Linked DNA regions of Caenorhabditis elegans. The main gene of each other region encodes a partner of the protein of the gene in region 2 in a complex. Each region holds a gene or a part of one and is shown on either strand. Other genes may lie near its edges. The genes, in order: pat-3, unc-52, pat-6 and pat-4.

The links.
Region 1: unc-52 (region 2) and pat-3 share a complex: the UniProt entries of both Caenorhabditis elegans proteins name them as parts of the integrin containing attachment complex.
Region 3: unc-52 (region 2) and pat-6 share a complex: the UniProt entries of both Caenorhabditis elegans proteins name them as parts of the integrin containing attachment complex.
Region 4: unc-52 (region 2) and pat-4 share a complex: the UniProt entries of both Caenorhabditis elegans proteins name them as parts of the integrin containing attachment complex.

What each region holds. Positions count from the first base shown.
Region 1 is NC_003281.10:3,908,402-3,915,970, reverse strand, and holds pat-3 (Integrin beta pat-3), read left to right. Parts: upstream 1-1,821; 5' UTR 1,822-1,841; coding exon 1,842-2,039; intron 2,040-2,094; coding exon 2,095-2,299; intron 2,300-2,916; coding exon 2,917-3,320; intron 3,321-3,418; coding exon 3,419-3,855; intron 3,856-4,411; coding exon 4,412-4,750; intron 4,751-5,309; coding exon 5,310-5,797; intron 5,798-6,230; coding exon 6,231-6,517; intron 6,518-6,570; coding exon 6,571-6,642; 3' UTR 6,643-7,040; downstream 7,041-7,569. UniProt on the Caenorhabditis elegans protein: Integrin alpha ina-1/beta pat-3 is a receptor for laminin. Integrin alpha pat-2/beta pat-3 recognizes the sequence R-G-D in its ligands. Plays a role in cell migration, morphogenesis and probably in cell-cell interactions.
Region 2 is NC_003280.10:14,681,426-14,686,090, reverse strand, and holds the start of unc-52 (Basement membrane-specific heparan sulfate proteoglycan core protein), read left to right. Parts: upstream 1-1,634; 5' UTR 1,635-1,794; coding exon 1,795-1,997; intron 1,998-2,545; coding exon 2,546-2,700; intron 2,701-2,786; coding exon 2,787-3,025; intron 3,026-3,201; coding exon 3,202-3,384; intron 3,385-3,749; coding exon 3,750-3,900; intron 3,901-4,288; coding exon 4,289-4,398; intron 4,399-4,665. UniProt on the Caenorhabditis elegans protein: Component of an integrin containing attachment complex, which is required for muscle development and maintenance. Probable structural role in myofilament assembly and/or attachment of the myofilament lattice to the cell membrane.
Region 3 is NC_003282.8:261,386-265,925, reverse strand, and holds pat-6 (Paralyzed arrest at two-fold protein 6), read left to right. Parts: upstream 1-1,693; 5' UTR 1,694-1,701; coding exon 1,702-1,869; intron 1,870-1,914; coding exon 1,915-1,990; intron 1,991-2,035; coding exon 2,036-2,223; intron 2,224-2,283; coding exon 2,284-2,418; intron 2,419-2,965; coding exon 2,966-3,256; intron 3,257-3,311; coding exon 3,312-3,530; intron 3,531-3,866; coding exon 3,867-3,917; 3' UTR 3,918-4,040; downstream 4,041-4,540. Other genes in the region: pqbp-1.1 (WW domain-containing protein), read left to right, coding at 4,246-4,463, 4,516-4,540. UniProt on the Caenorhabditis elegans protein: Involved in the regulation of cell adhesion and cytoskeleton organization. Component of an integrin containing attachment complex, which is required for muscle development and maintenance.
Region 4 is NC_003281.10:88,923-96,681, reverse strand, and holds pat-4 (Integrin-linked protein kinase homolog pat-4), read left to right. Parts: upstream 1-1,872; 5' UTR 1,873-1,878; coding exon 1,879-1,974; intron 1,975-2,536; coding exon 2,537-2,842; intron 2,843-3,451; coding exon 3,452-3,548; intron 3,549-4,044; coding exon 4,045-4,190; intron 4,191-4,819; coding exon 4,820-5,075; intron 5,076-5,489; coding exon 5,490-5,583; intron 5,584-5,999; coding exon 6,000-6,258; intron 6,259-6,892; coding exon 6,893-7,039; 3' UTR 7,040-7,229; downstream 7,230-7,759. Other genes in the region: mrpl-40 (Large ribosomal subunit protein mL40), read right to left, coding at 7,530-7,613. UniProt on the Caenorhabditis elegans protein: Probable pseudokinase that acts as an adapter protein. Component of an integrin containing attachment complex, which is required for muscle development and maintenance.

The DNA.
Region 1 (7,569 bases), on a different chromosome or scaffold from region 2:
CCAACAGTCGACCCCTCTTCTCATTGTGTCTGTCTCTCCACAGATTCAATGCTCTTTTATTCCGGGCTAGTGCTATGATTAAACACACAAGGGCAATACGAACACAGAGAGACATAGAGACAGAGGATACTAGTATATGTATGCACCAGATGTCTTACTACTTGTCATCCCTTGGTTCCCTTCTTCGTTTTGTTCCTCCCAATTTCAATTTCAATTCAGTTTGGATTTTGAATTAGTTCCTATCAGATTGTTATCGATTTGATGGATTGGAGACGGGAGACGGTGGGCGTGGGAAATTTAGAACAAGAATGACTCAGACGCTATTATTTTCTACTCTTTTCGTTATTTAAGTGTTGAAATCGTCGTTTTTCACAATGTCTAAATTGTTATATCGTTGTATGATAACTTTTGACAGCCATTTTAAAATTAATTATACTTTGACATTTTAATAATTACTAGGTGCATTCATAAGCTGTAAGAGCAAGAATTATAGTTATCTTCAAAGTTTCACCTAAACTAGTTTACCAGGAACAGTTTTGATGTTCAGCAATGAGTTTAAACATTTTTGGAATAGCGGGAAGCTTAAAAATACCCAAAATAGTCAGAAATTTCATTAAACCACAAAAAAAAGAAGGAAAATGTCGATCTAGAATGTGAAATCCTTTTTTTTAGTTTCAGCTAATATCCCTGTTTGAATGTCTTCCAAAATGAGAATCCACTCCCACTTTTGAACCAAACTAACGATATTGAAACTATCGAAAAATCCCTTTCCTCACCACATCAAACCCCCTCCTGTGAATTTCGCAATTTCATCGGTCTCTGATGTCTCTAGAAGCTCCCGATTCTAACGCCTTTTCACCCATTTCCCTTTGGTTTTCTTCCCTTCGTCTTCTTTGTTTCTTCGACGATACAAGCAGGTGTAACTCTCGTTACACTTTGGTCCGAGCCCCTCTCCCGGCCAACATAGAGCACTCTATCGCCTACACTATCTCTTCGAAGAGCATTCTGCTGCTGGGTTGATGGCAGTTGTGAAGAGAGAGAAGGCGAGAGATGCTCCTGTCGAAGCACTTGGCAGATCCGCCCACGTTCCGAAAAGAGGTGATCGGTGGACGTAGTTGATACTTTTATCGATTTTTAAGGTTTGAAAAGTTATGTGCATAACTTCCAAAAATGTTAAACGGATGAAGTTTTATCCCGAAATCTCAAATTTCATACATTACACATGTGTGCCTGCAGATACCGAATTAAGTTATTGTTTCCCGAAAATACTGTACCCGGTCTCGACACGACCGATTTTTCTCAAATCCGAGTTGTCTGAACTCCAATATTCCTCGCTGCAAGTTTTTTTATATTTTCCCCCGAAAACTATGTAATTTTCTAACAAAAAGAACATGACTCCGTTATACTTCCCGCATTCACTCCGTTTGTTGAGTAAACAATAAATTTTCCTACTATGGTGACTAATATTTCAAGAAGTCATTTTCTTTCAAAATTTCCTATATATTTTTTATTGTATAACTTTTATATTATAACTTTTTCTTCACTGAAGAAATTATGAATTGGGGATGTGCCATTTTTAGTATGATATTCTTGATTTTTATATCAAAATATTTTTTTCAAAAAATCTAACTTTTTTGGAGAGCTTTAAAAATTTCAAAAGTTGTATGAAAGTTGCCACCTGTTGAAAGCAGTTTGATATCAGGTTTCTGTAGAGTTTCATCATCAATTTTTCTTATAAATACACCATTTTTTAATCTCACCGTTTTTTTTTCTAATTACTCCGTTCTCAATGTACTAAAAGCCAATTAATTAATTTTTCAGTTGAACCTACCCGGCATCAAATGCCACCTTCAACATCATTGCTGCTCCTCGCAGCACTTCTTCCATTCGCTTTACCAGCAAGCGATTGGAAGACTGGAGAAGTCACTGGAAAAGTCGTCGAAAAATCAGAATTCCCATGCTACAGTCTGTCACGTGACAATTACACATGCTCAGCGTGCATTCAATATCATGAATCTTGCGCGTGGTGTGGAGCACCGGTATGTTAAATGCTTGAGACCATGAATTTATTTTATTTAATAAAAAAAATTCCAGATGTTCGACGAGAAGAAGCCATATGCCCGTTGTGATAGCCGTGCCAAGCTCATGGAACATGGATGTCCAAACAGTTATATCGAGGATCCGGCCACAAAATTGGATATCACTGAAGACAGTAAACTCTCCGATCAAGGACAAGTTGAATCTGAGGAAGAAGCCGTTCAGATCAAACCACAGGAGATGTACGTCGAAATTCGGCCCAGTAAGTTTTTTATATGGTTTTCAAAGATAATTCGTTTAAAAACTCGATGAAAATAATCAATAAAATACAAAAAATTTTTTGGGGTTTCAGCAAAAAAAACGAAGATTTCAGGGTAATTTCGTAGTCTTAAATTTTCAGGAAAAATTTGCACTAATTAAAGAAATGTTTTTCATTGATTTTTCACAACAAAAACCGCTGAAAATCACATTTGAAAATTGTCTCAAAAACACTGAAAAAAAAATCGTACTGCATTTTTTTTGCGGAAAGTTAAAATATTTCCGGTTTTGGTTATTTTCAGCCTCTTTTTTATTTAATTTTTATCTTAAAAAGCTCCTGTAATATACAATTAAGTGAAGTAATTTATTATTATTATCATAATTCGTTGATTTACACATTTTAGGCTCGTTTGACTATTTTTGGATTTTAAGAGATTTTTGGGCTTAAAATATGCCTAAATCAACGAATTAATGATAAACTTCTAAAATTTGCAATTCAGGGTGATTATAAAATAAAAATTAATTAGTGACCGCTGCGACTCGAAAACTTGTAAAATCACAAGATTTTTCTCTAAATCCAGTTCTTCAATATCAACAACAATCTAAATGTTTTTTTTTCAGAATCCCGTGTTCGTTTCAATGTGACCTACCGTCAAGCCGTTGATTATCCAGTTGACTTGTACTATTTGATGGATCTCTCATATTCCATGAAGGATGACAAACAGAAACTGTCCGAACTCGGAGACTTGCTCGCCGAACGAATGAGAACTGTCACAAAGAATTTCCGATTAGGATTCGGTTCATTCATTGACAAGAAACTTATGCCATTCATCGATCCACGAATCGAAAAACAATTATCTCCGTGTCCAACACCATGTGCAGAACCATATGGATTCAAGCATCAAATGTCATTGACGACGAACACGGCAAAGTTCAAGGCTGAAGTTGATAAAGCTGAAATTTCTGGAAATTTGGATGCTCCGGAAGGAGGTTTCGATGCTGTTGTTCAGGCGTTGGCTTGTAATGTAAGTGGTTATTTGATTTAAAAGAAAAATTCAAAAAGAATCAAATCAACATTTTTGAGATATCGGGAAAGCTTAAAATCTAAAAATCAATATTTCAGAAAACCATTGGGTGGCGTGAACGTGCTCGTAAAATGATCGTTTTCTCAACTGACGCTGGATTCCATTTCGCTGGAGACGGAAGATTGGCAGGTGTCGTCGAACCAAATGATGGAACATGTCATTTAGATAGAGAAGGATATTATACTGAAACACTTAATCAAGATTATCCATCAATTGCACTTCTTCATCAAATGATCAAGGATCGTAAGGCAAATGTCATTTTTGCTGTTACAAAGAACAATCAGGATTTGTATACACAATTGTCGAATGCACTCCCAGATGTTTCATCGTCGGTTGGAGTTTTGGCTAATGATTCAAGAAATATTGTCGATTTGATTGAGAAGGAATATTTGAAAATTAGTGAAAAGATCATTATGGTTGATAATGCAAATGCTTCAGAAGGACTCAAGCTCACTTACAGATCTATGTGTTTGGAGTGAGTTTTTTGAATAATATTCAATTTAAATGAAAGTTGGGAACTTTTGAAAATTAAAAAAAAAACAAAAAAACGCTGTAGAAACAGATTGAGAAAGACCTCGATCATGTAGATTTACGCAGGCTTCGTGTACTCCACGAGAAGAAGCGTTTTTGGCTGAAATTCTGATTTTGGATTATTTTGTTACTTTTTTTGTATTTAACATTCAAAATTGGTAATATAATTTTTATTTATGGTATTTCAGGTGAAAATCTGTTAATTCGGTGTTGAAACCTTCAGATTCATCCGCTTTTACATAAAACAATATAAATAATTGTAAAATATCTACAATATTGCCCTCGCCGTGCAATTTTCAATATTCATTTTTCTCGAAATTAAAAAAAAAGTAATTTGAATCGAAAAATTGAGCTCTCTTAAATTCTCACGTTTCTAGACGAAAAAGTCTTCACATAAAATTGTTTTAAACTAAAAAAAAGCACAATTTTGGAGCGAAACTATTAAAATTATTACAATTTTATTCTAAAATTTGACCCTATAAATAACCGTAATTTTTCAGCGGAACCACACTGAAAGATACCAATGTTTGTGAGGGAATTCGTGTTGGAGATGAAGTTCAATTCGAAGTAACCCTTGAAAATACTCATTGTATCGATAAACGTGATTTTGTTCTCCGTATCGGACCATCTGGATTGGATGAGACACTTATCGTTAATGTTAAAGTTTTATGCGATTGTGATTGTGAACGTCAAGACAGAATTGTGACGAATTCGGCTGATTGTAACGGAGGAGATATGGTTTGTGGAGTTTGTCGATGCAAAGGAGGAAATGTTGGAAAATATTGTGAATGTAATAGACCTGGAATGAGTACTGCTGCGCTCAATGAAAAATGCAAAAGGTATGGTTTTTTTTAAAATTTAACATGAAAATTATGTGAGAAATAATTTTAAAAAATATATTGGCCGAGCAGTATTAAAAAAATTTTAATCGAAAAAAAAGCTATAAAACTTCTATGGCTGGAATACTAATCGAAAATTGATTGGAATAAAAATTAAGATCACAAAATTTTGAAATTCCTTGAAAATTTCCAAATAAATTGATTTTCTGTAGTTTTTTCTTTTTAAAAATTTCAACTGAATTTTCTCGGTTTTTTGGATAAAATTTGACGCCTTCGATGGAATCACAAGAAAAAACGAGAAAATCCATTTAAATTTGCCGGAAAAACTCCGAAAAAAAGGTCGTTGCCTAATCAGAAGTTTAAACTTTTGCTCGAAAATTTAGAAAATAATTTTTGCTTTCTTACATTTTTTAAAAAAATTCAGAGAAAATCAAAAAAATTGGAAAAAAAGTTAGAAAATTAACAAAAATTAAATTGTTTATCAAAAATGCTAAAAAATTTAAGCTATTTTTGTTTTCCGTTTTTTCTTTTTTAAAAATTCTAATGATCTAATTTCCAGAACTAACGAATCAGCAATCTGTGAGGGTCGTGGTGTGTGTAACTGTGGACGTTGTGAATGTAATCCACGTGCCAATCCAGAAGAACAAATCTCTGGAGAATTCTGTGAATGCGACAACTTCAATTGCCCACGACACGATCGTAAAATCTGTGCAGAACACGGTGAATGCAACTGTGGAAAGTGTATTTGTGCACCTGGATGGACTGGAAGAGCCTGTGAATGCCCAATTTCAACTGATTCATGCCTCTCTGCAAATGGAAAAATCTGTAATGGAAAGGGTGAATGTATTTGTGGAAGATGTCGATGCTTCGATTCGCCCGACGGAAATCGATATTCGGGAGCGAAATGCGAAATTTGTCCGACGTGTCCGACGAAATGTGTGGAATACAAGAATTGTGTAATGTGCCAGCAATGGCAGACAGGGCCACTTAATGAGACCGCCTGTGATCAGTGTGAATTCAAAGTTATTCCTGTTGAGGAATTACCCAGTAAGTTAAAAAAATATACTGATAAAGCAGAAAATCAATTTTTTAAATGTCAGAAACTTTTGAAAATTTTATTTCTGAAAAAAAAACACGTTTGATCGGAAAATTTAAAGAAAAAAAGATATTAAAATATTTTTTCGAAATATTGGAAAACTAAAACTTTTGATTTATCGAAAAATAGCTTGGAATTTTGCCCATTTTTCTTCTTTTTTTAAATGGAAATTTGATTTGATTTGTTAAAATATTACACTTTTTGTTAATTTTCTAAACGTTTAATCTTGATTTTCAGGAAAATAGAAACATTTTTTCTGAAAATAATGGATTTTGCCTTAAAATGTGTATAATACTTAAAACGTAAATATTGCAATTTTGCTAATTCTCTAAACCTTTTTTCTCGATTAAAAAACTTGAAATTTTGAAATTTTAAAATTTCCAGATCTCAACGAAACTACACCCTGCCAATTTGTGGATCCAGCTGATGATTGTACATTCTATTATCTCTACTATTACGATGAGGCCACAGATAATGCAACAGTCTGGGTCAGAAAACATAAAGATTGTCCTCCACCTGTCCCTGTGCTCGCAATTGTGCTCGGAGTCATTGCGGGTATCGTAATCCTCGGAATTCTTCTCTTGTTGCTCTGGAAATTGCTCACAGTACTTCATGATAGATCCGAATACGCTACTTTCAATAACGAAAGGCTTATGGCCAAATGGGATACGGTAAGTGACACGGAACAAAAAACATATAAATTTATCAAATTATCATTTTTCAGAACGAGAACCCAATCTACAAACAGGCCACGACAACATTTAAAAATCCAGTATACGCTGGAAAAGCCAACTAAATAGTTTTTATCCTTATATTTTAATAATTTTCCCAAATTTTCTAATATGAAAGCTCAATTTCTCCATCCAAACAACTCGAAACGAGTATTTAGCGATAAATTGTCACATTCTTCTTTGTTTTATTCAAAAAATCTCCATTTTTTTGTTTTTTTTTCCTTCATCAATTGTTCATCACACTGCTTTTACCCCATTCTAAATACGGATTTTTTTCTTCCTTCTCTATATATTGACTTGCTTTATATTCATCTTTCATTGCCTTTTGTCCCTCTTAACACCGACCAACAACTCACACACTTCTTGTACTATTTCCAATTTTCAATGGTGCTTTTATTTTTGAACTATCTTGTTCGAATTTTTCATGTAATATTAATTTTATATGAAAAAAATCTGAAAAATTAATTTTTTGTCTTTTTAATTTTTGGTTGAAACTGATATTAGCCATAACTATCTGAGAAGACATGTTAAATAATATTTTTAAATTATAAAAAGGAAAAAAAATTGCGCGTAAAGTGAGGAGCTTGGTGTTTGCATCCAAGTGCACAGAAAGCATTCAACTTGACGACAATTTTTTATTTCTTTTAATTTCTTTAAATTTTTTCGTTTAAAATTGGAATTCTTTTTATCCTATTTACCGTGTGGATTTTCAATTTTTCAGTTTAGAAGATTCCCAAAAGTTCGAAAAGTTTCAAGTATTTGACCCGAAGTGGTTTGACAACTGTTATTAAGCCTGATTAATTTATTTTTTGCATATCAACCGATTTAAAATTTAGTATTTACCACTTAAAAACGCTAGAGACTACAATAATCAAATATCTGACCCTCCTTCAAAGAATAAACAAGTTTTTTTTGACGTGAATTGTAGGATTGAAAAAAGAAAGATAGAGAAGTGACTAGACTTTTCTTAAATACGCACAAAAATGAGAGAG
Region 2 (4,665 bases):
TCTGTATTTTTTTCAAAATGCTTTGTGTTATGGTTTTGTTTGGGCTTAAAAACTTTTTTTTTCGAAAATTGCTAAATTATTTTTGCCATTTTTAAAAAAATTTTATTCACTTTCATATATTTACTCACTGTACTCAAAAAATCATATTTTTTCTCTTGAAAATTTTGTGTTTGTTCCAATTGTTTTTTCCTCTAATTAACTCCCAATTTTTTTCACCAGCTTTCCCCAAAAGATTTGCACTTTTAGATGCAAGAAGTATAGGGATAGTGCGAAAATCAGCAAACAATTCTCCCAGCTCTCCACCAATTTTCCACTCTTTTTCCTCGCCGCTTTTCACCTTTTAACCTACTACCCCCATTCCAAGCAGCTACCGTTCCTCCCTTAAATCGGCTTGAAGACTGTCCAATTGTTGTGTCAATATTTGTGGGGGTACTTTTATATAATCGGAAGGTTTCGACAGTTTTCGCCACCTTCTTTGGTGAGGTGGCGATATCAGTGATTATAAAAGGTATGGGAAAATGAAATATATATAGTCAAAGCTATAACCTCTGGGAGATGATTCTTCCTCTATTTATAAACACTTGAGGATGTGAAAATCGGACGGAAAAGACGAGCCACCAATATGAGGTTTGATGATCGGGGAACTCTCGTCGAGTGATGAGATGACGACGACCTGTGTATGTCGGAAAAGATTTGGGGATATTTTGTTTGGACAGGATATATGATGGTTTGGGCGGGTATTGCAACAAAAACTCTTTTTGCCAAATGAAATCAAAAGTGCACGCGGGCCGGAGCAACTTGAAAAAGGCGAAGCTTTGTACATGGTTTTCACCGCCTTCCTAGAAAAATCCTAGAATTCAGAAATTTGCAATATAGAGTTGTTTTGAATTGAAATTCATGAATTGATCACGAAGTGGCTAGGTTTATTGTATGTACAAAAGTCTTTCGATAAGACTATGGTAGCACACTCAAATGCACTTGACGTGAAACGCCAGGTACTGTGGATTCACTCTGTATCAAGAGAGTGGCCGACAAATTTTATTTTTGGCAGTTGCCAAAATTGAAAATTTTAGGAAAATTGTGGTTTTGCAACTATGTATTCATGCAACATCAACATATTTTATATGTTCTGTTGAATTTTTGTACTTTTCTGGAAATTATGTAGTTTTACATAAAATGAGGACTGCTAGATTTGAAGCTTAAACACACTGGAATTGCTTTAGAAAGTATACATGAGAACTGTATGATTTGGTTACTGTCAGCTAATGGCCAGAAACGCATTAGAATTGGAAATATTTTCTCAAACACCAATGCTACCAAATTTTCTAGCTCTTTTCAAACTTGCACCCCCAATAGCGGCAACCGCGTCTAATATAATAACAATAAGCAAGAAACATGCGAATCTATATTATATATTATGAGACGGTTATATACCATGATACTCCGTCCAACGTGGTGCATGACAAGCTATTCAAGTATGTGAGTGTGTGAGTGAGTGTGAGTGTGTGTGATGTGTTTATGCTAGTTGCGAGACGCGCAGGCGCAACAAGAGAGGCGGCTCTAAAATGCAAATATTTACCTGAGTCAGGAAAGAAATTCAGTTAGAGAAGAAGGAGGGTGGAAGCTTCTCCTAAAAAAGTGGGCGGGGCCTAAGAAGTTGCAACTGTGCCGCTGTGCCTCGCCGCCGCCGACGGTCAGCGCGCGCCTCTGTCTAGCAACCTTCTATCTCCTTACTTTCTTTTTTTAAAACTGACCTACTGCTCATTTATACCCCCCGTCAACTAGTTAGGGGGGATGGCGTTTTCGCTGTTCTCCGTCGTTTCACTGACGGTCATCTACCGGTTGACCATCAACTTTCCCGAACTACCGTACACTCAGGAGTTGAAGAACGTTGAGAGCGATGAGTTCGTGAGCACATCTAGAGATATAGCTCATTCTATTCAAGAGTTGGTCAAGGATCTAGAAGGAAGGCATACAGCTAAGGTTGCCGATTATAAGTGAGTTTTGAGTGAAAAAGGTTATCGACAATTTTGGGCGTTTTTCACTTTTCAAGAAATTCTAAAATTGCTCCCCTAATTTCCACATATTTACTTTTTTGCGGAATCTTAAAATTACAAAATGTCCATCAGTCCGTAATCCAAACCCGTAACTGTTGCCCGTGGGCCATAACCCAGAGTCCGTAATCCGCAAGTTCGGAGACCCGGGTTCCAAAATTGGGAGTCCGGAGTGCAGAGCCCGGAGTCCATCGTCCGGAGAACGGAACCCGAAGCCCGAGGTCCGAAGTCCGAGGTCCGGAGTCCGCGGTCATTCAAAATTCAACAATACTAATTTAGAAGGCATACTTCTGCAGCTTAATTTTAAAAAGTATATATTAAAGTTTTCAAATAATTCTTCCAAATTCCAATGTCATGTTTTCTGATAATTCTTAACAAAAAAAAAACGGTCGCTTCCTCCCACGAGAGAAAGTCAACAATAGAGTATTTTGTGTAAATACATGCGTATGTATGTACATGTGTGTGTACCTATATGTTGTTGTAACTTCCAGATATCACAAAATCATTGGATCTCTTGTCTACGTGGATTTGTACGCTGAAAAAGAGTCACCACTGGTGTCTGATGTGTTGTTGTCCGCGATAAAGTCTGGAAAAATTGGGAACCTTACGGTTTCCGATGAGGGTTTTGAGCTTCATGTTGTAAGAGGTGTGTTGTTGTGTGTTGTTGTGTGTTGTTTTATATGTTAAAATTATTCAGTCGCCTGAAAAATCTTACTTTACCAAAAATTGCAGACTCGTCAATAGCCTGCGCCACCACAGAATTCACATGCCTTGACAAGTCATGCATCCCGGCGGATCAACGTTGTGATGGAAGACGCAACTGTCCAGATGGATCAGATGAGCACAAGGAGCATGGAAAATGCAAGCAGCATCAACCAATCATCCATCAAACTGAGAAAGTTGTCTTCGCTCAGAAACATGGATCCATCCATCTCTCGGCTTCAATTGATAGTTCGGTAGAGGATAATAAGGTTCGTATACACTTTATTTGATTATAAAAAAGTGTCTACATGATTGGAGGCTATGCTTAATTTTCTAATTCCAAGCTATGTTGATAATTAAAAAAAAAGTTTCTTAATTGACTTTTGAATTGAGGTAATGCTCCGAAAAATCTTTTAATATTGTGTAAAACTATTGATTATTCCAGATTGCTTGGTCCAAAGACAGCGTTCTTCTTGGAGTTGGCTCGATGACCTTGGCAGAAGACGGGCGTGTGACGGTTTACAAAAAAGGAGACAAACATCATCTTCATATCATCAACGCCACCGACGCAGATGATGGAACTTATAAAATGATTGTGCAAGGAATAAATGTGGAGGCTGATTTTGAGGTAAGCGTTGGAAAGTGATTCAGGAAATTTGAGAAAAATATTAAGAAAGGGGTTTCCATATATGCTATCATTGATGGTTTGAAACTTCCTTTAAAATTTTAAATTTCCAAAAATATTGGCAAAACTGTAACTGAGAGGTTCAACGACTATTATATTTGCACATGAATTTTTTGGTCCATTTTTTAAAAAATTTTTCTTCTCCGATTTGCATATTTTGATACATTGTGTTTCAACTTAAAGGACTTCAAACAAGTGAAAATATGTTTGAAAATTTCTAAAATCAAAATTTTTCATTATTCCGAAACCGATCAGAACCAATTTCCATTTACAGTATTTTTAGCTATTCATAAAATGTTCAATTTCAGGTCCGCATCACCTCCGACCGTGTCGCCACCGAATCCGACGAATGCCCAAGCGGGGAGCGTGCCTGTAAATCTGGACATTGCCTTCCAGTCGCCCAATTCTGTGATCGCCGAGTTCAATGCCCAGATGGTGATGACGAGGAACATTGCTCTGGTAGGGGGCCTCTTAGTCATAAAATACATTGAACATTTCGTTATAATAGGTGCTAGATACTACCTCGCTCCTTAGAATGTAATAATTGATGTTTTTCATTGTGAGAAAAATACTAGTACCAAAAAATGGAAGATAGATCAATGACTCATTTCCAATAATTTTTAGTTGAAAAGCAGCCAGTAGACCCGGTTATTCCAACAAGGTGAGAGGGGACGAAAAGAGCACACACACACATGTGTGTGTGTGTGCTCGGAGAAACAATAGTTAAACATTTGACCAGCACACTTGTTTTGTTTTTCGCACACTTGTAGGAGAAAATGCTCAAGGAAAAATTGAAAAATTGTGCTCCGTGCTTGAGAAAATCTTTCGTCGACTTGACTTATTACAGAAGTGCAATGCAAATCGAATGAGTTCCGATGCGAGTCCACAAATGTTTGTGTGCCAACTGTCGTCGTCTGTGACGGATGGAAAGATTGCCATGATGGTTCTGATGAAAAGGTAAGGGGTTGGGGAATTTTAAATTCAACAAAGTTGTACTGTGAAACTACAGTAGGGAAATCGTAGGGATACATTGGACCCACAAAAAGACCGCATTTTTGCAATACAGTAGTATTCCAGAGCCTGTATGGATACTCTATAAGATATTACTGTAGATGCACTAAATAATTCAGGAATGGGCGGCAATTGCTGTTCGGCAAATCTGGCAAATCGGCAAATTGCCGGATTGCCGATTTGCCAGAAAAATCGTTTGCCGCACACTCCTGA
Region 3 (4,540 bases), on a different chromosome or scaffold from region 2:
TTGTACGAGATACAATAGTTCTTGACACAGACACCTACAATTTGTTGATAACGAAGGATAGACGCATCGGGTTGATGATTAAACAAATTTGAAGGAAGTACACGAAATTTCAAAAATTTAAAGGTGGAGTAGCGTCAATGGGGATTTTGTCTAAATACGCTTATTATGATTTCAAACGACCGAATATCATAATAAAACTACAAAAATTTTTAGATTTTCCCTAATTTCGGTCAAAGTTTTGGCACATTACCAAAATTTTGACAAATATGAGCTTTTGAGGACATCCAAAGCAATGTCGCATATTCCGGTCTTTACAATGATTCAACAAAAATAATTGAAACAAAATTACAGTATAAAAAATGTAGGAAAAATAATTTTTTTTGGTCGACTTCCAAAATTATGAGTGGCAAAAACTGAATATTGAACACTTTTTGACAGTGAATAAAAATTTTTCAAAAAAGTTTTGAAAAGTTTTATTATGATTATTTGTCACTTTGGCACCATAGGAGTATTTTTTAACACTTACTCCATTGGCCCTACTCCACCTTTAATAATTTTCAGATTTCCTAATTTTCTAGATTGCATGCTAATTTTTACAATTACTAGTTCAATGTTTCTTAATCTGATTTCGGTTTAATGCAACTATTATCATACGCCAGGAAATCGAATGTACCGTACGTATAATCAATGTAACTGATGTGATTTTTCATAATTTTTTCCTAAAATTGTTTTTCAAAATTTTTTCAAAAATTGCTATGGAAAAAACTATTTTCAAAAGACCGACCTGTGGACCGACTGTACCGTATTTCCTCTATTAGTCTTGCACTCCTACAGACTAATTGAAAATCAGTCTTACAGCCTGTAATAGTCTAGCACCCCACTTTTTGTCATATTAGCAGAACTTTGTGGAAACGTAAGCAAATTTATCATTTTTGGAGTAAATCAAATGTAAAATCGTTCAAATAATTGATGTAATATTGGGAAAGTATGTATTTTTCATTGTTTGAACGGTCAAAATTGTATCACTTTCCAAAGTTCGAAAAATAGTTTTCAGTCTCTATTAGTCTTGCACCCCTAAAGACCAATTGAAAATTAGTCTCGCATGCAAGACTAATAGCGAAAATACGGTAAATGCAGAGTTGTTGTCTTTCTTAATTTATTTTTATTTTTATTTATTTGAATATTAGTTGTTATATGGACGTCCTTTTCTTTCTCAATACATATGCATATACAAATATTAACTTTCCGTTCTTCTTTCCTATTCCCATACATTTATATGTATCCCAAAGCCTTCTCTCTCCCCCACACACACCATTTATCTGCACCATCCTCTTTTCACCCAATCTCTCATTTGTCGTAAACTCTCCTTCCAACTCTACGTCTCTTATTGTTCCCAACACTCTCTCACTTTTTCAACACTGACGACGGCTGTTTTACACTATCTGCTGGCCTGGATGGGGACTTTTGTGTTGCTCTACGGAAAGAATCCTCCCACACAATATTTTTACTGCTATTTGAACATTGAATTATCGATTTTTCAAATTTAAATTTAAGTGCTTAAAGAGGAAATGTTCCAAAACAGAGTTTCATAATGAGACTTCAAAATTTTTTTAACTTATCAATATCTAATTGTACTTTATTTTTTATTATGAATCAACAAATATTTACCCCTTAATAATTTTAAACTTTTCAGCAATAACCATGTCAACACTTGGTCGTAGTAAGACCCCATCTCGTGACGAACCAAAAAAGCCTGGAGTCTTTGAGAAACTCTCTGGTACCCTTTCTCGAAAGAAGAAGGCGCCGGAAGATGAGCATGGAAACCAAGGGGGTGCACATCATGCTACTGATGAAGATGAAGTTTTGGAGGTTAGTTTTGCAAATTAATGGTTTTAGCAAATATAGATTTTTCAGCTTGAACTTGAAGGTCGTGAGGCTCTCGATCAGTCATTGGTCCCAGTTCTTGCAAGAAACATCTGGTTGGAAGAAGGTAAACGGTTTCACCAATATATTTATCCAATATATTTTTTTCCAGGAGAAATTCGTCGTTATCTGACTAAGGAAACAGCCCGCGATCAGAAGTTGGCACAAGTTGTCGATTTGCTGATCTACTGGCTTAATGAAGAGCTAGCTGATCAAAGAATTGTCGTTCGTCACTTGCAAGAAGATCTTTTCGATGGTCAAATCATCCAGAAGCTGTTGGAAAAGTTGGAGCAGATTCGAGTAAGTTATTGGTACAATTTCACAAATTGAATAAATTCTCCACTCACAGTTTTGTTACAGATCGAGGTTCCAGAAGTTTCGCAGTCAGAAGAAGGACAACGTCAAAAACTGCAAATTGTAGTTCAAACAGCCAATCGAATTCTCGGACAGCCAAGAGAACAAGAGAAATGGTCTGCGGATCTTATTCATCAAAAGGTACGCAAATCTTTGTCTGAATTGTTCATTTCTATCAGTCTTACATTTCATTGTGCAGATGTTTGACGCACTGTAGACAAAAGAGTTTCTCACTCGAAGCTGTTCCAAAAACTACCGTATATTCTATATTAGTATGATATGTTAATCTGTGGACACCTCCGCCACACAATACTATTCATCATTTACTATATATAAAGCGCTTATTCTGTGTGTCCATAGTTTGTAGTCTATGTAGTCTTTGTAGTCTGTGAAGTTTTGGCTTCTTGGGATAGTGAGTTGGGGTTAGTGTAGGGATATAGTCGAAGTACTGTATTGGCACAATAGTGGTACGGTAGGAATACTGTAGTTTCAGAAAAAATCAGTTTTCACCCCCAGGTCCACGGCTGGTAATCTATATAGAAATTCGTGAACTGCAATACTAATTTTCGAGGTGGTTTTTGGATGCAAAACTTATTGAGAATATACGATAGTTGAACGCAACAGTACTTTTCGAATAAACAGAGTTACTTTCCATATTTTATATTTTCTCATAAAAGAATATTCCCAGGACTTCACTGCCATCATCCAGCTCCTGGTGCTTCTTGCTCTTCACTACCGTGCTCCAGTTCGATTCCCAGATAACGTGGTTGCTAACGTTGTGGTGGCTCAAAAGGAACATGGTCAAGTGAAGACCCATCGAATTACTGAGCAAATCACTACAGTTCAAACTGAGTTGGCACCGAAGGGCACTCGTGACGCATTTGATACGCTTTTCGATTATGGACCCGATAAGTTGGCTCATGTGAAGACATCTTTGTTGGCTTTTTGTAATAAGCATTTGAATAAAATTAATCTGGAAGTAAGTTTATTCACTTCATTGTGCTACAAAGAAGCTGATATTTGTAAATTTTTAGGTGTCTGATTTGGATAATCAATTCCAGGACGGAGTTTTCTTAGTTCTCCTAGTGGGACTTCTTGAAGGTTATTTCGTCCCGCTTTACCATTTTAATCTCCAAGTTCAAAGCCACGAGGAGAAAGTAAAAAATGTGCAATTTGCGTTCAAACTTATGGAAGACACTGGCCTTGAGAAGCCTAGATCTCGTGTTCAGGATATTGCCAATGGAGATGTTAAGGTTTGTAGTTTTGACAATTTACAGAAAAATATACCATTTTCCTAATTTAATTCAATTTACAATCCTCAATTTTAAATAGTGCAAAATTTTAAGGGATTGAAATCAAAGTGTAATCGCGCTTCAGCCGGAAATGAAAATGTCCCGCCTCCTTTAATTGGGTCTCGTTAGGTATCGCCATTTGGTTGAAGCGCGATTACATTCGCAGTTGTCGAATTTTCTTTTCACGACGATTCAGCAATCCCGAAGAATTTTAAACAAGTGGCAAAAACAAATTTTCTGCTCATATCTGATGCGATGGATTTTCTATATACAATCCTAATTCATTCTTTATTGCAGAGCACTCTCCGTCTTCTCCATTTGCTTTTCACTAAGTACAAACATATCTAATCTGAGAACTTCATTCGTCATCCTAATCAAACGACACCGTCCAATAATTTGTGTCTGGCTCAACAACTATGGTGCTTTAATTTTGTTAAAATTGCATTTATGTCAATAAATCTTTTAATTTTTAGACTTAGCACTATATTAAATTAAAGAAATTGGCAAATTCCGAAAAAAAAACTCTATTTGAACTCCCTCGTAAAGGAGATTTGCAATGGGGCGCGTTTGCATTAATAAAATTTAATGCATTTTCTCATCGATTCTTTTATTCTTGTTTCTTTATTTTAATTAATATGAATTGATTGTATATAAAATTGTATTTATTTTACAGAAAATGCCTCTTCCACCAGCTCTTCTCGCTCGACTTCAAAAAAGGGGAATTGTAAAGCAAGAAGAAGAGGTTATCGCTGAAAACTATGAAAAAGAGCCAGAAAAGAAAAGTTTCGAAGAGAATTCGGCAGGAGCACCTGGTTGTCCAAATAAATGGAATCAATATCACGTTTGCCTCGAATTTTGCTATGATCATTGGGGCGATGGAACTCCGGAATATCGGTTTGTTTTGAATTTTAGCGAAAAATTAATTAAAAATCGTTTTTTTTTGCAGGTTGCCCGAGAGATATGTGCAGAAC
Region 4 (7,759 bases), on a different chromosome or scaffold from region 2:
GCGGGAATTTTTAGCTCGAAAAAATGTGACGTCAGCACGTTGCTAAATCAGTTGAGAACACTCTGCGGCTCTTCTCTCGCATTTTTTGTAGAAGATCTACGTAGATCAAACCGAAATGGGACACTCCGACTCCCCCCGCTGGAATTGTCAGAAAATCAATAATTTTCTACGCAACCCTCCCGGTCCCCAAAATCCTTGGCATCATCATCATCAATGCTCAGTTTCCATCCGAGAATCGTGTTACAACATCCGTCCCTGCTTCTCTGCGTCTCCTATCTCTCTCCATATCTCTTTATCTCTAACTCACACGACTCCCACGGGAACCAAATCTCTGCGTCTCTCACTGCATTTCACACTCTCTCTCCCCCGTCTCTTCTCTTTCTCTCAAATGTTCTTGAATACCTTCTTCCGATGAGCTTCTCGCCCCCTCAAAACCAACTCAATTTTATGATATACTTTCTAGTGATATGATATTCCGTTATTTTTCTGCCACGTGGCAAAATTTTGGGATGTTAGGCCACGTTAGGCCCTTTCTTGGCTGTTTTGGGAAAAGCGTCTGAAAATGGTTTTTTGTCTGAAAAACGTCATTGAATTTTAGTGCTGCAATTGTGAAGTGGTAACTTTGTTAAGCTTCACAATTTTTCGTTATGCTCCGGGTTCAGGTATTTTGTAAACCCAGTCTTTGAGAAGAAAATTGCTAAAAAAACTTGGGTCCCGCCACGAAAACGCTAGGAATTTCAAGAGTTTTTACAGGAATTGATACATAACTTTTCAGTGCTGTAGAGGAAAAATTTACAGATCTTTTGGGCACAAAAATGTGCGATGGGGGCTTTGAAATAACGTGAAAATTTTTTTTGAATTACTTTTTTAATCAAAAAAGTCCTTTGGAATATTGGGGTTTTTTAAAGCTTTTTTAGCAAATTTATACTATTCTGAAAACCCTTAAACTGCTTAATTTAATGAAACTAGGTATAACTTTGTCGAACTATTTTCAGCCAAGTTACAGTAATTCTTCTGAAACTCGCTGCGGAGCTTCAGAGCAAAAATTACGATTTCCTCAAAATTTTTAAGAGAAAGTTACCATAAATTAATATTTTTCTGATGGCTCGGAAATTTTCCTATTCAAATTTTGAATTTTCAAGACCAGAAGCTCGTTTTCAGCCAAATTTTAGAGCTTTTTCAGGAGTTAGCTGTGAAAGGTAAAATTGGAAAATGTCCTAGAAGCGAATTTGCCGGTTTTTTGATAAAAATTTTCAGGCAAAATCCAGGCAAATTTGTACTTTTCTGAAAGCCCGAATTCTCATCTTTTCAAATTCTTAGCATTCAAGACCAGAAGCTCATTTCAAGCGAAGTTTCAGAGCTTTTTCTGAGCCAACCTCTAGACGACGGAATGGTCAACGAAAAGATATCCCACAATCGCTTGCCGTTTGTTCTCTGCGCGGGATACTACTCCCTCTCCACAATACATACATTTACAACAAATTTCGTCTTGTTCTCTGCGTCTCCTACATAGTCCTCTACTATCTCGCCTGGCCAGCGGGGGAACAATGTTGACCCCCCCCCCCCCATGCCGTCGCCTCAGCAAAATTCTACTGCTTTCTGTTGTACTTATTGCATTGTTTATTTGTCTATGTCTCTTATATCTAACTTTTTTGGCTTGAAATTATAGATTCCGGGCTTCATGGGGCCCGGGAAAAAGTTGGAAAAATTGAGAAAATTTGGAAATTTTTGGAGATTTTTATTGATTTTTTAATAGTTTTTTTCTTCAATTTTCACCGATTTTTTTTGTTGTAATTTTACATGTTCCTGCTCAATTTTTCTTGATTTTTTCAAATTTTACACTATTTCACACGTAAAACCTTATATTTCCAGTCAACAATGTCTTTGTCGACTCATTACCATGCGCACAAGCCAAATGTGCCCATTATAATGGAGGATGTGTTTGGATGGGTCCGCGAGGGTAACGCTTTTCAGGTGAGTTTTGTAAATATTTTTATGGGGTTAGGCTCGATGAGAGCTTTTGAAAAAGTATAATTTTGTATAGGTTTTTGAAAAAAAAAATTTGGAAAAAAATTGAAAATGTTTGGAAATTATTTTTTTTAATTCTAGAAAAATTCAAATTTTTTCGCTGAAAAGTGGGCGGAGCGTATATGAATTTATACTTTTTTGAAAGTTAATGTTTTTCCTCAATTAAAAAAATTTAAATTTAAATCCGAAATTCTGAGATTTTCTAAAAAAAAAATTCATTAAAAATTTTTTTTTTTTAAATTTAAATTCCTATTTAAAATGGCGGAGCTTATACAAATTTATACTTTTCTAAAAGTTAAAATTAAGCTGAATTTGAAAAAAATTGTTGCCAATTTGAAAAATCAAGTTTAAAGCTAGATTTTAAGCTTAAATCTGGAATTTCCGGTAATTTTTGTCCGATTTTTCTTTTCATGCTAACTTGATCAACTTTCACCGAAATTGTCCAATTTTTTTGCAGAGGATTTATCACAATCCTTACTATAGACTAAGACTACTATCAAAATTTCAGGTCCGCGTCTGGTTGGACGATCACGAGCACGATCTCAACGTCGGAGACGATCACGCCTTCTCACTGCTCCACTGGGCCGCGAAGGGCGGCCACGTGGCGATTGCAGAGATGCTCCTGTCACGTGGAGCACGTGTAAACTCTACGAATATGGGAGATGACACGTCATTGCATTTGGCGGCCGCCCATGGACACCGACAAATTGTGGTGAAGCTTTTGTCGAGAAAAGCCGATGTTAACGCTACCAACGAGCACGGAATGACTCCACTGCATTATGCTTGCTTTTGGGGATATGAACAAATTGCTGAGGTGATTTTATTGATAAATTCGAATAGAGCTTGTTTAGAGCTTCAAAATAAGTATAAACTCGATTGGGAAAATTTTTTGGGAAAATTGGAAAAAAATGATTTTTCAAAAAATTCAGAAAATTTTTTTTCCAAATTTTCGAATAAGTTCTTCTCGGAAAGTTTTAATTTCGCAATGAAAATGTATAGTTTAGGTGAAATTATTTTTATAATCAAATATAACTAGATTTGAGCTTTAATAAATGTATAAATTCATAAAGGATGCGCCCACTTTTGACCAAAAATTTTGAGCTTTTTTTTGCCGGAAAAAATTTCTGAAAAAAAAATCATTTTTTCAACACTTTATAACTTTGGAAGTTTTTTGGCTATTTTTTTTTATGTTTTCATACTTGCGTCCTAAATATTTTAAAATTTCAATTTATTATACCAAAAACACAAAAAGTCCCTATTTACAGTAGCCCCTGGGAGTTTTCGTGGCGGGACCCAAAAATTTATCGAAAATTTGTAGAATTTTCAAAACCCGGGCATGATTATACTTTTTTGAAAGCTCTTAACAAGCTGAATTTGAATTTGTTAATAATTACCTTGATTTCTTGCAAAATAACAACTTCAGGACCTAATCTCCTGCGGCGCCGCTGTCAACGTGTGCAACAAGAAGGGAATGACCCCACTGGACGTTTGCCAGCCAATGTGCAAAAACACTATTTTGGGTAAGTTTTTTGTGCATTTTAATCTGAAAATTGAATTTTTTTAGTCGGAAAACATATAGATAAGATTTTTAGAAGAAAAAATGCATTTTTTGAAAAAAAAAACATTTTTCAACATTTTTACAACTTTTCAAAAACTCATAACTTTTTAGTTTTCAAGCGATTCGATTTAATTTAACGTTAAAATAAGTCTAAAAGATCAAGCTTTTTGGTAAATTAACTTAAAAAATTGAAAAACATAAACTACAGTAACCCTATAAGTTTTCGTGGTGAGACCCAAAAATTCTGAAGTCTTCTGGGCAATGCTCATTTTGTGTGGAGCCTGGGCATGATTATACTTTTCAGAAAGCTCTTGGTGAGCAAAATTTAATTTTGATACTTAAAAATAATGTGTACAAAAATTTAATGTTTTTTTCAGCAAAGACTTTTGACTCGCAAAAAGTTTTTTTTTTGGGATGACTTTTTTCTAATAAATTTTTAAATTATCGATTTTTTCTAGAAATTGCTCAAGAACATGGACAATCTCCAAATGACCGTGTACCATTCAAGGATACCACATGGAAGGGTACAAAGTCCCGTACTCGGGACGCCACACTGTCCCGCTACACCGGAGTCGACGTCTCCTCGCTGAATTTGATCACTAAAGTGGGTTATAGATTTTTTCAGTGGAAAATAACTTAAAAATTCAAATTCAGCGTAAAAAATTAGTTTCAATCGTTGAAGGATGGGAATTTTCCGCGAATTTCGAAGTTTCTGAAAAAATTCGAAAAAAAAAATTTTTTAAGGAAAATTTTCAAACATTGAAAAAATCATAACTTTGACTGTTTTTGAGATTTTCAGCCGGTTTTAACCTCAAAATATGCACAAAAACTTGTTCTACGTCAATAAAATATTAAAATACTGTATTGACACAAAACAGCTTAACACTATGGATTTTCGCGGTGGGACTCAAAAACTCGTCGAAAATTGGAACCCGCTACGTAAACTTCCAGAATTCACTTACCGTAGTGTATATTATTATTTAATATAAATAATACTGTTTTTCAATATTTTATACGTGTTTTATGTCAAAAATCTGCAAAAAATCTTAAAAATTGGCAAAGTTATTAAGATTTGAAATGTTTGAAAAAAAAACTTCATTTTCGAAATAAAAATTTTTTTTGACCTGAGTAAATGTATACTTTTCTGAAAGTCTAGATCAAGATGAACTTGATAAGCTACCTCAAACTTTAAAAATCCCAAAAATTTCCAGCTTAACCCCCACTCTGTTACAGATCGCTGAATCACACTCCGGAGAACTGTGGCGTGGAAAATGGCAGGGCAACGATATTGTGGCGCGAATTTTGAATGTTCAAGAAGTGACCGCCCGTATCTCACGTGACTTCCAGACCGAGTTTCCGGCTCTTCGTATTTTTGCTCATCCGAATATTTGTGCGGTGCTCGCCGCGGCTAACCAGCCACCGAACTTGGTGATCATCTCGCAGTACATGCCATTTGGAAGCCTGTATAACGTGCTCCACGAGCAAAGTTGTGAGTTTTGAAGGTTTTCATTGAAAAGGGCGCAAAAATTAGTCCTAGAAAATGTTTTGAAAATTTTTTTTTTTGATTTCGAAAAAGTAGAAAAAAATTTTTTTTTGATAAATTTTTTTTTTTCAAAATTTGTACTTTTCCCAATTTTTGAGATTTTTTGTTAAAATACTGCGCACAGATAACTCAAAAAATTGTCTTTTTAGTAAAATTATCAATATCATATTAGATAACTTATCTACAGTAACCCAACAGTTTTCGTGGCGAGACCCAAAAATTCTCGAATTCATGCTAAAATGGCCGGAGCCTAGGCATGATTATACTTTTCTGAAAGCTCTTAACGAGATCTATTAGATTTTGACATTAATTTGTGAAAAATCGCTGAAATAATTTAATAAAATCAATAAAATATTGCAGCTGTCGTCATTGATCACGGGCAAGCCGTCAGATTCGCGTTGGACATTGCTAGAGGAATGAGCTACTTGCACAGTTTGGACCCTATGCTTTTGAGGTTAGTGTGGTTGAATGGAGCTTAAAAAGAGCTCCCAGAAAAGTATAAATTTTTATAGGCTCCGCCCATTTTTCTGGCGGGAAAATTTGAATTTTATGTTTTTAAAAAAATTTGGATTTTTTTTTCCAAATTTCAAAAGTTCATAACTTTTTTAGTTTTTGATACTTTCAAACGGTTTTTGGCTTAAAATGTGCCTGAAATAATGTTCTTCGAAAAGTAGCTACAACAAAAATTTTCAAAAATTGTTTTCAGGAATCCAAGAGTTTTTGGGGCACTACTCGAAAAAAAACTTAAAAAAAATTTTTTTTTTTTTTTTTTTTAATTTTTTAATTTTCCCCCCATTTTTTTACGTTTCTTAACTAATTTTAGAGTTTCAGATAATTTAAGCTATCATAAGCCTAAAGCCCAGTTTCCAGGTTCTACCTCTCCTCCAAACACGTTGTAGTCGACGAGGAGCTCACCGCCAAACTCTCAATGGCAGATACGAAATTCTCGTTCCAAGAGGTCGGAAAAGCCTATTCGCCTGCCTGGATGAGCCCAGAAGCCTTGTCACGGGCTCCAGAAGACTTGAATATTAGAGCTGCCGATATGTGGTCATTTGCTATATTGTTGTGGGAGCTGAACACTCGTGAGGTCCCATTCTCTGATCTACCGCCAATGGAATGCGGAATGAAGGTAAGGGAGGGTTTTTGGAGGGCTGAAAGTGTGAAAAATGATGTTAAAATCCTAAAATTAATCTATCAGTTAATTTCGGATGAAATTTTGGAAAAAAATTTTTTTTTGGCCCAAAAAAAATTGTTTTTCTATTATTTTTTTCAAAAGTGTTCATTCTTAAATTCAAACTCAGAAGCTCAAAACAGGCCGTGACAACATTTTTTAGCTCGTTTGGGCTCAATGTCGTAAGATTCGGTGTTTGCGTACTTCCGAGACTACAGTACCCCGAAAGCCCTGAAAATGGAATAGAAACGTCTAGTAACGACTGACCACGCTCAAAATTTTGCGAGAAATTCGAATTGAACCACAGTTTGTTGACATTTTGAGATAAAATCAAAATTTTTTTCTGAAATTTTGTCAAAAAATTCGAATTTCTTCGTATAATTTTGATCAAATATAATTTTTATCAAAAAATTTGAATTTCCCGTCACTTTCTACCTCAATAAACTCAAAAAACTCATTTTCCACCGCTTTTCTGCAAGTCGTCGTCAGATTCAGTGTTTGCGTACTTTTAGGGTTACAGTACCCCTTACACCTCCAAAATCAGCGTTTCCAGACCCAAATTTCACGCTGAATCCAAATTTATTAATTTCAGATCGCTCTGGAAGGTCTCCGAGTGCACATTCCCCCTGGAATCGCCCGTAATATGAACCGTTTGATGAACATTTGCATGAACGAGGACCCGGGACGTCGGCCAAACTTTGATCAAATCATTCCGATTTTAGAGAGAATGATATTATGATTTATCGATTTTGCTTTTCTAATGTTTTCAACAATTTTTTTAAAATTCAATTTATCAAAGCTTTACATCAAAAGTGCCTGCTCCTTGTCCAGCCCCATCGCATTTTCCGTCTATATATTAATTTTAAATGTTAAACTGTCAAAAAAAATTGCTCAATTTATGAAAAAATCAATAAAATCTTATGAAATGTAAGGATTACTGTACGCAAACACTCTTCGACAAAAAAGTTCGCTGCAGTAAGTTTCATGTATCCAAATAATCAGTTGCCAAAAATTTGCACGTGTAGCCTAGTGGCTAGTGACCTCGCCCGCCAATCACAGGGCCTGGGTTCGATCCCCGCAGTGGCAAATTTATTTTTTCCAGCTCGGTTTCACTGAAATTTTTAGTTTTTTCCATAAAAATCGATAATTCCTTTATTAATGCGTCATCCTATGTCACTGTCTACAACAAAAATACCCATAAAACACATAAAAATCAACAATTTTCGGCTCTAAGATGCCCAATTTCTCGTAGTATCAATGTAGTCGCCGTCCGGAGCCTCGTAGTTTCGAATGGGCGGAGTCAGTGAGGGTCCCTGTAAGAAATTTTAAAGGATTTTTCGGAATTTTTTAATTTTTAGAAAAAAAAATTTGGAAAATTCCAGGTTTTTTAAAAAAATTTTTTAACCAATTTTCGGAATTTTTCGCAAAATGTCAGTGAGTTTTCAGATTTTTCTAATAA